2 linked regions of the Arabidopsis thaliana genome follow. The protein of the gene in region 2 interacts with the protein of the main gene of each other region in a pairwise test. Each region holds a gene or a part of one and is shown on either strand. Other genes may lie near its edges. The genes, in order: TUB9 and RR1.

Region 1 (5,126 bases), on a different chromosome or scaffold from region 2:
ACTCGAACAAGGAATGGGATTTGGTGGTAGAGTCAGTAGAGCAAAAAGGGTTCAAGGAAAACATGTTATTATGACTATCGAGCAAGAGAAAGCAAGGTGAGAAAGTTTCGGTGTATTCTCATGTTAGCTTGATGAGTGTTTTGTCTCTTGAATTGACGTTTCCATTGTTGTTTGAACATTTTAGGATACTAGGGAACTTGGGCTGGGTTCATTTACAGTTACATAACTATGGAATTGCAGAGCAGCATTACAGGTTTGGTTTTGTTACCAAAATCCCAAATATTGATTACTGTCTGGTCATGTGAGTTTTGCTTATATTCAACTGATTATGAACAGGAGAGCTTTGGGTTTGGAGCGAGACAAAAACAAACTCTGTAACCTTGCAATCTGCTTGATGCGTATGAGTCGAATTCCTGAAGCTAAATCTCTGCTTGATGATGTAAGAGATTCTCCTGCAGAGAGTGAATGCGGAGATGAACCATTCGCAAAGTCTTATGACCGAGCCGTCGAAATGTTAGCAGAAATAGAATCGAAAAAGCCAGAAGCTGATCTTTCGGAGAAGTTCTACGCGGGATGTTCATTTGTGAATAGGATGAAGGAAAATATAGCTCCTGGAACCGCAAACAAGAACTACTCAGATGTTTCTTCGTCTCCAGCATCTGTGAGACCGAACTCTGCAGGTCTATATACACAACCACGCAGATGCAGATTGTTTGAAGAAGAGACGAGAGGTGCTGCTCGAAAGCTACTATTTGGAAAACCACAACCTTTTGGCTCTGAACAGATGAAGATCTTAGAGAGAGGAGAAGAAGAACCCATGAAGCGAAAGAAACTGGACCAGAACATGATTCAATATCTCCATGAATTCGTCAAAGATACAGCAGATGGTCCGAAGAGTGAATCAAAGAAAAGCTGGGCAGATATCGCAGAAGAGGAAGAAGCAGAAGAAGAAGAAGAAGAAAGATTGCAGGGAGAGCTTAAAACCGCAGAGATGTAGGATCTATTTGTACCGGTTATCAAGTTTTTTGGATCATAGAAATTGTATAGGCTTTTGACATTGAAATATTTTCATAGACAAAACAAAGAAGCATAGGCAAATGTGATTACACTCTGGAACAAATCTTAGGTTTGGGAAAGAAATTCAATAACAAAACACACAAAGCACAAAAAGAGAGAATCCCAATTCAGAAAAAGAGGTAAAAGGAAATGAGTGCGACGAACTTACAGCCTTACAAAAGTAATAATCAATCATCTTTTCTTTAGGCTTCTTCTTCTTCTTCGTCCTCCTCGTACTCCTCTTCACCGACTGTAGCATCTTGATATTGCTGATACTCTGCAACAAGATCATTCATGTTACTCTCTGCTTCAGTGAACTCCATCTCGTCCATTCCTTCTCCTGTGTACCAATGAAGGAAAGCCTTTCTCCTGAACATGGCAGTGAACTGTTCACTCACACGCCTGAACATTTCCTGGATTGAAGTTGAGTTTCCAATGAAAGTTGATGCCATTTTCAAACCAGTGGGAGCTATATCGCAGACGCTTGATTTCACGTTATTTGGAATCCATTCAACAAAGTATGAGGAGTTTTTGTTCTGGACGTTCATCATCTGTTCATCAACCTCTTTGGTACTCATCTTTCCACGGAAGACAGCAGAAGCTGTCAAGTAACGACCATGACGAGGATCAGCTGCACACATCATGTTTTTGGCATCCCACATCTGTTGAGTTAGCTCAGGGACACTCAAGGCACTGTATTGTTGAGATCCTCTTGATGTCAAAGGTGCAAAACCAACCATGAAGAAGTGGAGTCGTGGGAAAGGAATAAGGTTCACAGCAAGTTTTCTAAGGTCAGAGTTTAGTTGACCAGGGAACCGAAGACAGCATGTAACACCACTCATTGTAGCTGAGATGAGATGGTTAAGGTCACCAACTAAGATACACCACCACATAAGAAAGAAGAACAATGTCAGGATTTTCAAAACTACAATCACATGAATATTAGAAAACAAGAGAATAAATGGTTTGTAAATCTCACATGTAGGATTAGCAAGCTTCAAGGTACGGAAACAGATATCGTAAAGAGCTTCGTTATCCAAAACCATACATTCATCAGCATTCTCAACGAGCTGGTGAACGGAAAGAGTAGCATTGTATGGCTCAACAACTGTATCAGAGACCTTAGGAGATGGGAAGACCGAAAAGGTCATCATCATACGATCTGGATATTCCTCTCTAATCTTAGAAATAAGAAGTGTTCCCATTCCAGAACCAGTTCCTCCTCCCAAAGAATGACAAACTTGAAAACCTGCTCCACAAATGAATCATCAATCAGAGAATGAAATCAAACGCTAAACAAAGCATCTATGAAGGAGTTTCTAATAGCAGATCTGAATTCGAATGCATACAGGAACAGGAAACGCTAACAAATCAAAACACAAACGAGATTCAGAAAACGAAAACCTAGAAAATGAAAGCGTATCTCTCTCACCTTGAAGACAATCACAGTTCTCAGCTTCCTTCCTCACAACATCAAGCACAGAATCAATCAACTCAGCTCCCTCCGTGTAATGACCTTTCGCCCAGTTATTCCCAGCACCAGACTGACCAAAAACGAAGTTATCAGGCCGGAAAATCTGACCAAACGGCCCAGATCTGAGAGAATCCATAGTTCCAGGCTCCAGATCCATAAGAACAGCACGAGGAACGTATTTGCCTCCGCTAGCTTCGTTAAAATAGACATTGATCCTTTCAAGCTGTAGATCTGTATCGCCACATGACTGACCGGTTTGATCAATACCGTGCTCGCCGCAAATAACTTCCCAGAACTTAGCTCCGATCTGGTTTCCGCACTGACCTCCTTGAATATGAAGAATTTCTCTCATTTTCACTCGGATGTTTTTTTTTTGTTCTTTCTTTCTCTCGGGAATCGCTTTTAGTCTATTTTCTCGAGAAAATGATGAGAAAATTTGGCGACTCCCTCTGTTTATTGTTTATGATTGAGGGGTATAAAAACAAATGAGAGTAGTAATCGGCTATATATAGTTTACCTCCTTTTTTCTCTAGTTTCTCAAATAATTTGCATTTTCGTCCTTAGACTTCTATTGGTTTTTGATATTACCCTGATAGTTTTTCGATTTGGTTTCCTTTATGTGCTGTTATACAGCGAATCAAAAACAAATATCTTTCCTTAGATATTTTTGTTAATTAATTATAAAATATTTACAAAATCACTCGTGAAAGTTATATAAAGGCAAATTGTTTTCTACGCTTTTTTATATTATTGATTAGATCCTTTTTTCTTCGGATATTGAAATTAAAGACCAAAAGATTCGAATTTGCGTCATTAGTGGATTTTCCTTTGTTGTTTTTCACACCAATAATAGGCAATTTTACTTATTTAGCAAATCACCAAATTAATTAGATAAGCTGACAATAGAAATTAGAAGTAAATGGCTTACAGGCAAATAACAACTCATAAATATGACGATTTTAGAATAGTTAATCTGTTGCATAAATATCAATTTTCAAGTGAAAAAATATTACTATATGTCTTGCTTCTAAGTTTATTATATGAATCAACGGTTCAAACAAAAAAAAATCTATCAGGAAGGTTTTTTAGCATCTAACTATAGACACAATTCGTTGATAGGTTTAACAATAGATGAAATTGTTCAAATTATCTTTAGACAAATTTTAAAAATGTAAGGATCTTAAAATAGCTATTACCGGTTTACCATGTTTAGTTCACAAATAATATGGATGCATATTTCGGTTGTTTAGTTTAGTTTAGTTCGATGTAATTTGTTTGCTTACAAAATATAATTGAACAAAAATCTTAAATCTGTTTCGGAATGGTTTGTTTTTTTCACCGGTTTACCAAATTCACTTTTGCTTCGGTATAAATGAATTAAGATTTTGAAGCTACTGTTATACCATACTTGTAGTCATTAATGTTTTTACATATTGGGGAAATTAAGCTGAATAAATTAGTTTTTGTAAAGTTTAAGTCTAAAATAAATAAATTGATCAGCTTTATTAGAATTTTTTTATTAGAATTAATTTAATAATTTCGGTCAGATGGACATAGGTAATATTTTGGTACAGCAGAAAGTGTAAAATCTTAAAAACTGCATAGTACAGTTGTACAAATTTAACAAAAATGGAAATAAATAACAAATTTTTTGTAACAAAAAAAAGGAAGTAAAATAATTGGTTAAGGCACGCGTCGTCCTGCAATGTCTTTTTAGCGGTTTCCTCATCATATCTCTCTCTCTCTCATTTCACTTTCTGCGCAAAGAGGGCAGGAAGAGGTTTCTTCTCCATTTATTGCATTTGTCTCTCCAAAATGTCTAATTAATGGTTTTGATCTTCCAACCAGATCTTCTTCTCTATCTCTTCGACAAACCCTTTTTTCTGGGTTCTTCGGAGAGGTGATTTATCACCAAAAAAAAGATTTTAAAAGTCTAAATCCTTTTTTCTTTCTTTCCTTCAACATGCCTTTACCTTGGAAGAAATCTAAATCTAGTCGGATCTCTAGATTCGTATCAGACTTTCAACAATCTCCTAAACATGGTGGATCTCTCGTTGTTGAAACTGGTTTCCCAACTTCTTTAATCGATCTCTTTGTTAAGAATCGCGATCGTCTCAAAAAACAATCTTCAAAACGTAACAACAAGAACAACAAAGCCCAGACTGAAACGCGTGTTTTGTCTCCACCTCCTCCTCATATGTCTTTGCAGCGTCGTATGTCTCTTCCTTCCAAGCTTGATCCAGCTTTGGTTACAGAGGATTCTCCTTTGGTGAGAAAGATCGAGGAAACTTCTGTTCCGGAGATTATCCATGAAGACGACGGTGGTCATCGCGGTGGAGGAGGAGGAGGGTGTGTTTTGATAGTGGTGGTGTTTAAGGTTTTTATGGTGGCTGTGCTTGCCTTGAGCACGAAGAAGCTCGCCGTGGGGATCACGCTCTCTGCTTTTGCCCTTCTCTTCCTCGAGCTTGCGGTGGCGCGTGTCTTCACGTACTTGAATCTCTGTCCCGACGCGCAGATTCGGATAGATTCTTTGATCGATAAGCTCATAGGGAAGCGACATAAAGAGAAGCTAGAAGAAGAAGAAGAATCAACATCG
Region 2 (6,044 bases):
ATGCTGCACCCGGTTTTCAGAAAGCGTACTCGTTTAACGGAAGTATCATCGCGGTCAACGGGAAGAACACAACTGTTTTAATGGAAGGGCTCCCTGGACTGAACTATCTCCTTGCAGAGAAAGACGGAAAAAACCCGAGTGAAGACTTTCGGATACCCGGGAAACAGCAGTCGGTTATCTCCTTCACCAAGAAACTGACTCCTGGAATCAAAGTTGGTTCCAAAGATGGGTTTCCCACCAAAGTACTCTTCAACGGCCAGGAATGTTCACTCCCTTCTGTACTACCCACGAGCAACAGTCACAGGAAACATGTATCCACCTTTCTTCTCATCCTGACACCATTTTTGGCTCTACTGTTTCTTCGGATTTAAAAGTTCCAGTGAAGGACTTTCCTCATTAGCCAGAAAATATACAGTTTTCTTGATTCTTTCTAACCAGATTTGATGCAGAATTACTTCTACTACTAGTGGTGCTTTGTGCACCGTGTGATTCTTGAATTTCGTATGATCAGATTTTAGTAATCAGTATGTATACATACAAATATTGAACAGACAAATCCCTTTGTGTTTTGATCTTGAATTGCTTTGATTTCACGTTGTGGCGTTGTACTAAATTAAGTTTGTTCGAATTATTCTAAGCATTTACTCGAAATACATACTTACAAAACCCTAAACAGCCTCACTACATAAATGAGGAACAAAAGAATCTCCAAGGATATTAACCCCTAACATGAATAATTATTTCTTATATAATCTGCCATTTAAAATTTCATGCAGACTACATATATATCAAACAAGTTTTAGTAGATCGTCGTGTAAAAATGATACAGTACAGATCCGGGTAGTCCCTCCGGTTTATCGGTTTTTTTATCCAATCAAACCGGAATGTTATCGATGGAGTATGCGTCAAAGTCGAATTCGCCATCAACCGGTGCAATCCCTTCCTGTATATCAATAATTCAAGATTGTGTTTTTCAACTTTTTTGGTTCACTGATTTTTTTTGTTATTTAGTTGTAATTTGCATTATTATGAAAAAGACATGCGACCAATGGTGAGAAAGCGTCTGAGAGTTGTTATATATTTGATTTTGAACGCAAACATGTACGTTGACGGATCAGATTATGCTTCTATATAAGTTTGACAAAAAAAAAAAAATCAAATCAAACCTGCTTAAGAAGTGCGCTCATAAGATCTTCTTGATTACTATACTGCTCGTGAAACGCCATTGTTGCTGTATCCGTAGCCACTCTCTCTGATTTCACCCTCACTGAACCACCGTTTCCGTCTGCATAAACCTGATGGTGCTGTACCATTCCCGATGGTGGCTGCTGGTGGTTTCGGCCATGCTCGGTGGCTGCAACTGTCGTGTTGTGTCTTGACATGGACGAAGAAGAGTAGGCTTCTGAAGCGGAAAACGCAGCGGATTCTGAGTCCTGATGTGAGTCAAAGGCTATTCCAATATTCCTCAGATCCCAATCATTCTGTCTGGTGGTGAACATGTCGTAGCTCGGCGTAGTGAAACCCGCTTCGGAGCTGTTAACCTCTTCCTGGTAAGAAGTGGCTTTCCGAACCGGTACTGATATCCCTGGTGCACTTGCCAGCGGGAAACTGTTCACGGGAAGTTCTGGTTGGAAGTTGTTATAAGGCATCGAGCTTGATGAGTGTTGTGTTGTGAGATTAGTGTAACTTGTCGGTAACACTCTGCTGCTCTCGGGGATATTGTTCCTTCCAGAGAAACCACTTCTCTCGGAAATGCGGTTTGATAACATCGGCTGCCTGATGGATGATTGCGAAGAGGTTAGCATAGGCGGTGGTCCCCGAGGCAAAGACTGCTGACCCGCTAGAGGCATCAGCATTCCGTTGTTTTGAACACTATTTCCAGCTCGAACAGCAGCAATCTGTTGTTGAATACTCATTCGATTACCCATAGGAAGCTGCTGTTGTAAACCCGTGGGGACACCGTGAAGTAAGTTCATCTGTGGTTGCTGTTGGGGTTGTTGCCCGTGATGCCCAAGCCCTTCTCCAAATCTTGTTTTCGTGTTGTCAAAGCTGAAGATGCTTCTCTCATCCACAATGGAGGAAACCGGCAAACCTGACTTAGAGACCATCGCAGGCCGGCCTAAACCAGCGGCTTGAAGCTGTGCAAGACTCTGTGCAGGTAACTGACCTGTGACGGCTAGTGCTTGAAGATCAAACCCATTCAATGTCGAAAGAGGTCCGAAGCTCGCATCCTGACCCGTCATAAACGAGTTGTTAAGATTGCCTTGGTGCTGCGATACCCCTCCAAGCCGTCTTAGATATATCCGGTATTTCTGCAAGTCCACATAAAGCCGCTAAGAACATCTAAGCATTTCAATGGCTCATTTTGGTATCCAGTATAAGATTTATACCTGGAGGTGACTTGCTACGTTTTCTCGGGTTAGACCAGGAACATTCATCAGCTCTAAGATCTTTTTAGGAACCGCCTCTGCGCCATAGAAGATCATTTAGACCCTGAGCATAACAATCACAAATGCAAATGTAAGAAGTTTTAGTCTTACTCTCAACGCCGAGCTGATTAACAGCAGCAACAAACTGCTGATGCAATTCAACAGACCAGACGACACGCGGTTTCTTCAAATTCGACGCATCTTCGTCCTTATCATCTCCTTGCTCTTCTCCTTCCTCGTCTTTCCTCTTCCGTGAACTGCTCCTCCAATTGTTACCTTCGTTAACCGAGGATGAGTTATCATCCACCGCATCCTCTCCACCAGAAACAGCTGCACCACCACCACCTCCTCTATGTTGCTGCTGCTGTCTCTCGCCAGTCTCCTCAATGCTCCCAGAATGTTCCGGTACACTCCATTCACTTCTCCTCTTCCTAACTACATGCTGCCATATGTTCTTAAGTGCCTCCATACGTACAGGCTTGATAAGGTAATCAACCGCACCGTGCGTTACTCCCTTTAGAACCACACTCTTTGAATCATCCGCAGACATCACTAGTTAAACGAATACAAGATCAATAATCTATAAAAAAAGATTCAAACTTAGATGAGATTTGAGGGAGTAAAAAGAACGTTACTGATAACAGGTAAGTCCATCTCTAGACCAACATGCTCAAGAAGCTTGAAACCGTCCATGTCAGGCATATGAACATCACTGATTACTATATCGAATCCATGTTTGTTCTTCCGGAGCAGAGACAATGCCATCTCTGCTCTGTTGCATTTCGTTACTGCATGTCATAACAACCAAAATGTTTCATATCTTCAAAGATAAAAGAAAAAAACAGAGATTTGAATTCTGACAACAAGGACCTCATGAATTGACATTTAACCAAAACTCAAGTCAAAGATCAAAGACTCAAGATTTGAATCCATTTGAAACCTCCCCTAACTTATTATATACAATGGATCTACATGTGAATCTATCAGTAGATCAAAATGGTGTGATCTAAATGAAGAAGCTCGAGATTAATATGTGAATCTTAAAAAGTAACCAAAATGGTTTCTATTAAAGGGGGAGCAAAGTTAGTCAACCACCGATATGAAAACCATAATTATTCCTCAAAATAACATAATTTTCGAGAATGGACCACAAATAAACCCATCATTGGAGCAAGAGACCATGAACTCTCTTTCTCTCTCTCTCTCTCTCTCTCTCGTGAGATTAAACGAACAAAAAAAAAAAAAAAAAAATGAAAAGAGAAGATCTTGGTTTTTGGATACGAACCTTCGTAAAGACAAGTCCTAAGCATCCTCTCTAAGATCATGAGACAAGTTGGGTCATCGTCAACGACAAGAACTCGAAGACCAGAAGGAAACATCTCGACGACGGTCTCACCACCACCTCCTTGATTTCTACCGGAGCTGGACCCACCAGCCGATCCGAGTCCTCTTCCGTGACTCGGATTCATCATACCTCTCTCTATGTAGCTCGAACCCAAGAAACAAAAAAAGAAAAGCAGAAAAGAATATATACCCAGAAAGAAAGAGGGGAAATTGACGCGAGTTTTATTCGATTTAAAATTGAATATTATGAGAGAATACGAAATTGTTGGAGATAGAAGTGAATCTCTTCTGGGTAACCAAAAAAAAGAAGAAGAGAGAGATGGTGAGATGAGACTTAGGGAGTTGAAGAAGACAAGGCTTGTCTCACCTTAGAGCTCTTTTTCTCTGTTTTTTTATTTATTCACAGAGTAAAGCTCTCTTAATTTTTCCTATTCAATTTTTGTAACATTTAGATGCAGAAGAAAAAAAAAATGTGGTTTTTATATACTCAGTCATATATATTTTTTATTTACATATATGTAGAAGCTGACATGTCCTTTATTTTCATCATTCTCTCTACATTTAGACTATTGGTTTTATTAAATTTCATTTAGATCCACTCTCTTTTTTATTCTCAATTTCTTACAAGTTAGTTTTGTATATTATATGTACTATTGTTCTATATTCTGTTTTATTTTTCTATTTAGAAGAACATTTTGGATGTTGCTTTGAGCTCAAATTCTGGGTTATTTTGTGAAGTAGTGAAATATAGGGGTTGAATCATCAATGAAAGAAATATAGGGTAAGGAAATTTATATAATTGGGAAGAAAGTGGGACCAAAGACCCTTGATTCGTGGATCCAGCTCATGCATGAAAAAATTAATTAACTCGTCATATGTAAAGTTTGCAAACTCAAACCTTAATAGATTTTCATTAGTATTATTGTTGTTAGTTTCCTAATTTTTTGTTTTAATTTCCATTTTCTACCAATTTCGAATAGGAATTTGCCTTAAACAAAAGAGCAGCTGCATATATATATAAAAAATTCTTAGTTTTGATATGCCTATAATTTATTTACTAAACTACCCTTTGAATTTATGTAATTGAGAAACAATGCCTCCTGTCTATTGGACCTACATGTATTAAATTAAACGGCAAAATAAAAATATAATCATATCATTAAATTAAACAAAATAATACGTCTACGCACATTCAAGCATATGATTAAGGTACCAAAATACACCTAAGCATTTCCCATCATCACCTACATCTTTAGCTAAGATATAGTACATATACTTTTATCAACAAAAAAAAACCAGATATATGATGTATACATAACATAAGATTACTCGATGCCTTTTTTGGTGCAAATTAAACATATAACCTTCCAAATTTTTTAGTATGTATTTATTTCAAGTCGTGTGTAACTATGATTAGTAAGAATATAACTTATATAGTATACTTTTCATGTTTTAATCAAAAACAACTTGTAGTTCTAGGAAATAAATTGTATTAAATGGAAAATAGAAAAAAATTGTACGTTTGATTGTTGAAAACATATATATATATATATATATATATATATATGTATGTATAATTACAAGTTTACAACAACAGTAGTCAGTATATGGTGCAAAAAAAAACATGTGCGCTTCTTCTCTTAAAACGTTGGATACTAAATAAACAAAGAAATAATGCAAATGGTTCATCTGAATGATTAGTAACATCATATGCTACCCACCAATCGCCCTATTCCCCCGAAAGTATATTTTTAATAATGTATAGGATAACAAATCATATTTGACTATTCGATTGCTCTACGACATATTTATAAACACATACAAACCAGTAACTTATTTATAAATGTGTAAATTTGTCAACTTCAATGTAAACTATATCTAAGTTATCCAAGTTCAGTGTATACTTTGCTTAAATAGTTGTTTAGCACCGCCGACATGTCTTATCTTTTTCAAATTAACGATAGTTTTAAGTGTGACATACGACTTGTTTCATATGTGCATCGATACCTAATTTCTTACATTAATCAATGTTATCAAGTAAAATTCACTACTTGTAGTATTTAGAAGGAAAACTCAACAATACGAATATTAAATCAATTAAGTATTTCTTTAATTTTTATGAACTATCAACTATAGTGTATTTTCTTTTGGAAATACTGTACATGTGTATATTTCGAAGAATAAAATGAAAACATTTAATGATAAGAAAAAAACAAATAAATCACGTTGCTGAGAAGCTTTCCCTATTGCGACACGTGTCCACATGAAATG

Evidence for each region.
Region 1: the proteins of RR1 (region 2) and TUB9 interact in a two-hybrid assay, tested with the Arabidopsis thaliana proteins (one large-scale study listed by BioGRID).

Annotation. Positions count from the first base shown.
Region 1 is NC_003075.7:11,179,974-11,185,099, reverse strand, and holds TUB9 (tubulin beta-9 chain), read right to left. Parts: upstream 3,009-5,126; 5' UTR 2,883-3,008; coding exon 2,489-2,882; intron 2,306-2,488; coding exon 2,036-2,305; intron 1,931-2,035; coding exon 1,260-1,930; 3' UTR 998-1,259; downstream 1-997. Other genes in the region: MS5 (Tetratricopeptide repeat (TPR)-like superfamily protein), read left to right, coding at 1-96, 185-301, 337-997; AT4G20880 (ethylene-responsive nuclear protein / ethylene-regulated nuclear protein (ERT2)), read left to right, coding at 4,494-5,126. UniProt on the Arabidopsis thaliana protein: Tubulin is the major constituent of microtubules, a cylinder consisting of laterally associated linear protofilaments composed of alpha- and beta-tubulin heterodimers.
Region 2 is NC_003074.8:5,753,970-5,760,013, reverse strand, and holds RR1 (response regulator 1), read right to left. Parts: upstream 4,194-6,044; 5' UTR 3,902-4,193; coding exon 3,715-3,901; intron 3,659-3,714; exon of another isoform or gene 3,300-3,658; intron 3,218-3,299; coding exon 3,065-3,217; intron 2,982-3,064; coding exon 2,541-2,981; intron 2,468-2,540; coding exon 2,391-2,467; intron 2,313-2,390; coding exon 1,167-2,312; coding exon of another isoform or gene 1,161-1,166; exon of another isoform or gene 944-1,160; coding exon 875-943; 3' UTR 571-874; downstream 1-570. Other genes in the region: COBL8 (COBRA-like protein 8 precursor), read left to right, coding at 1-371.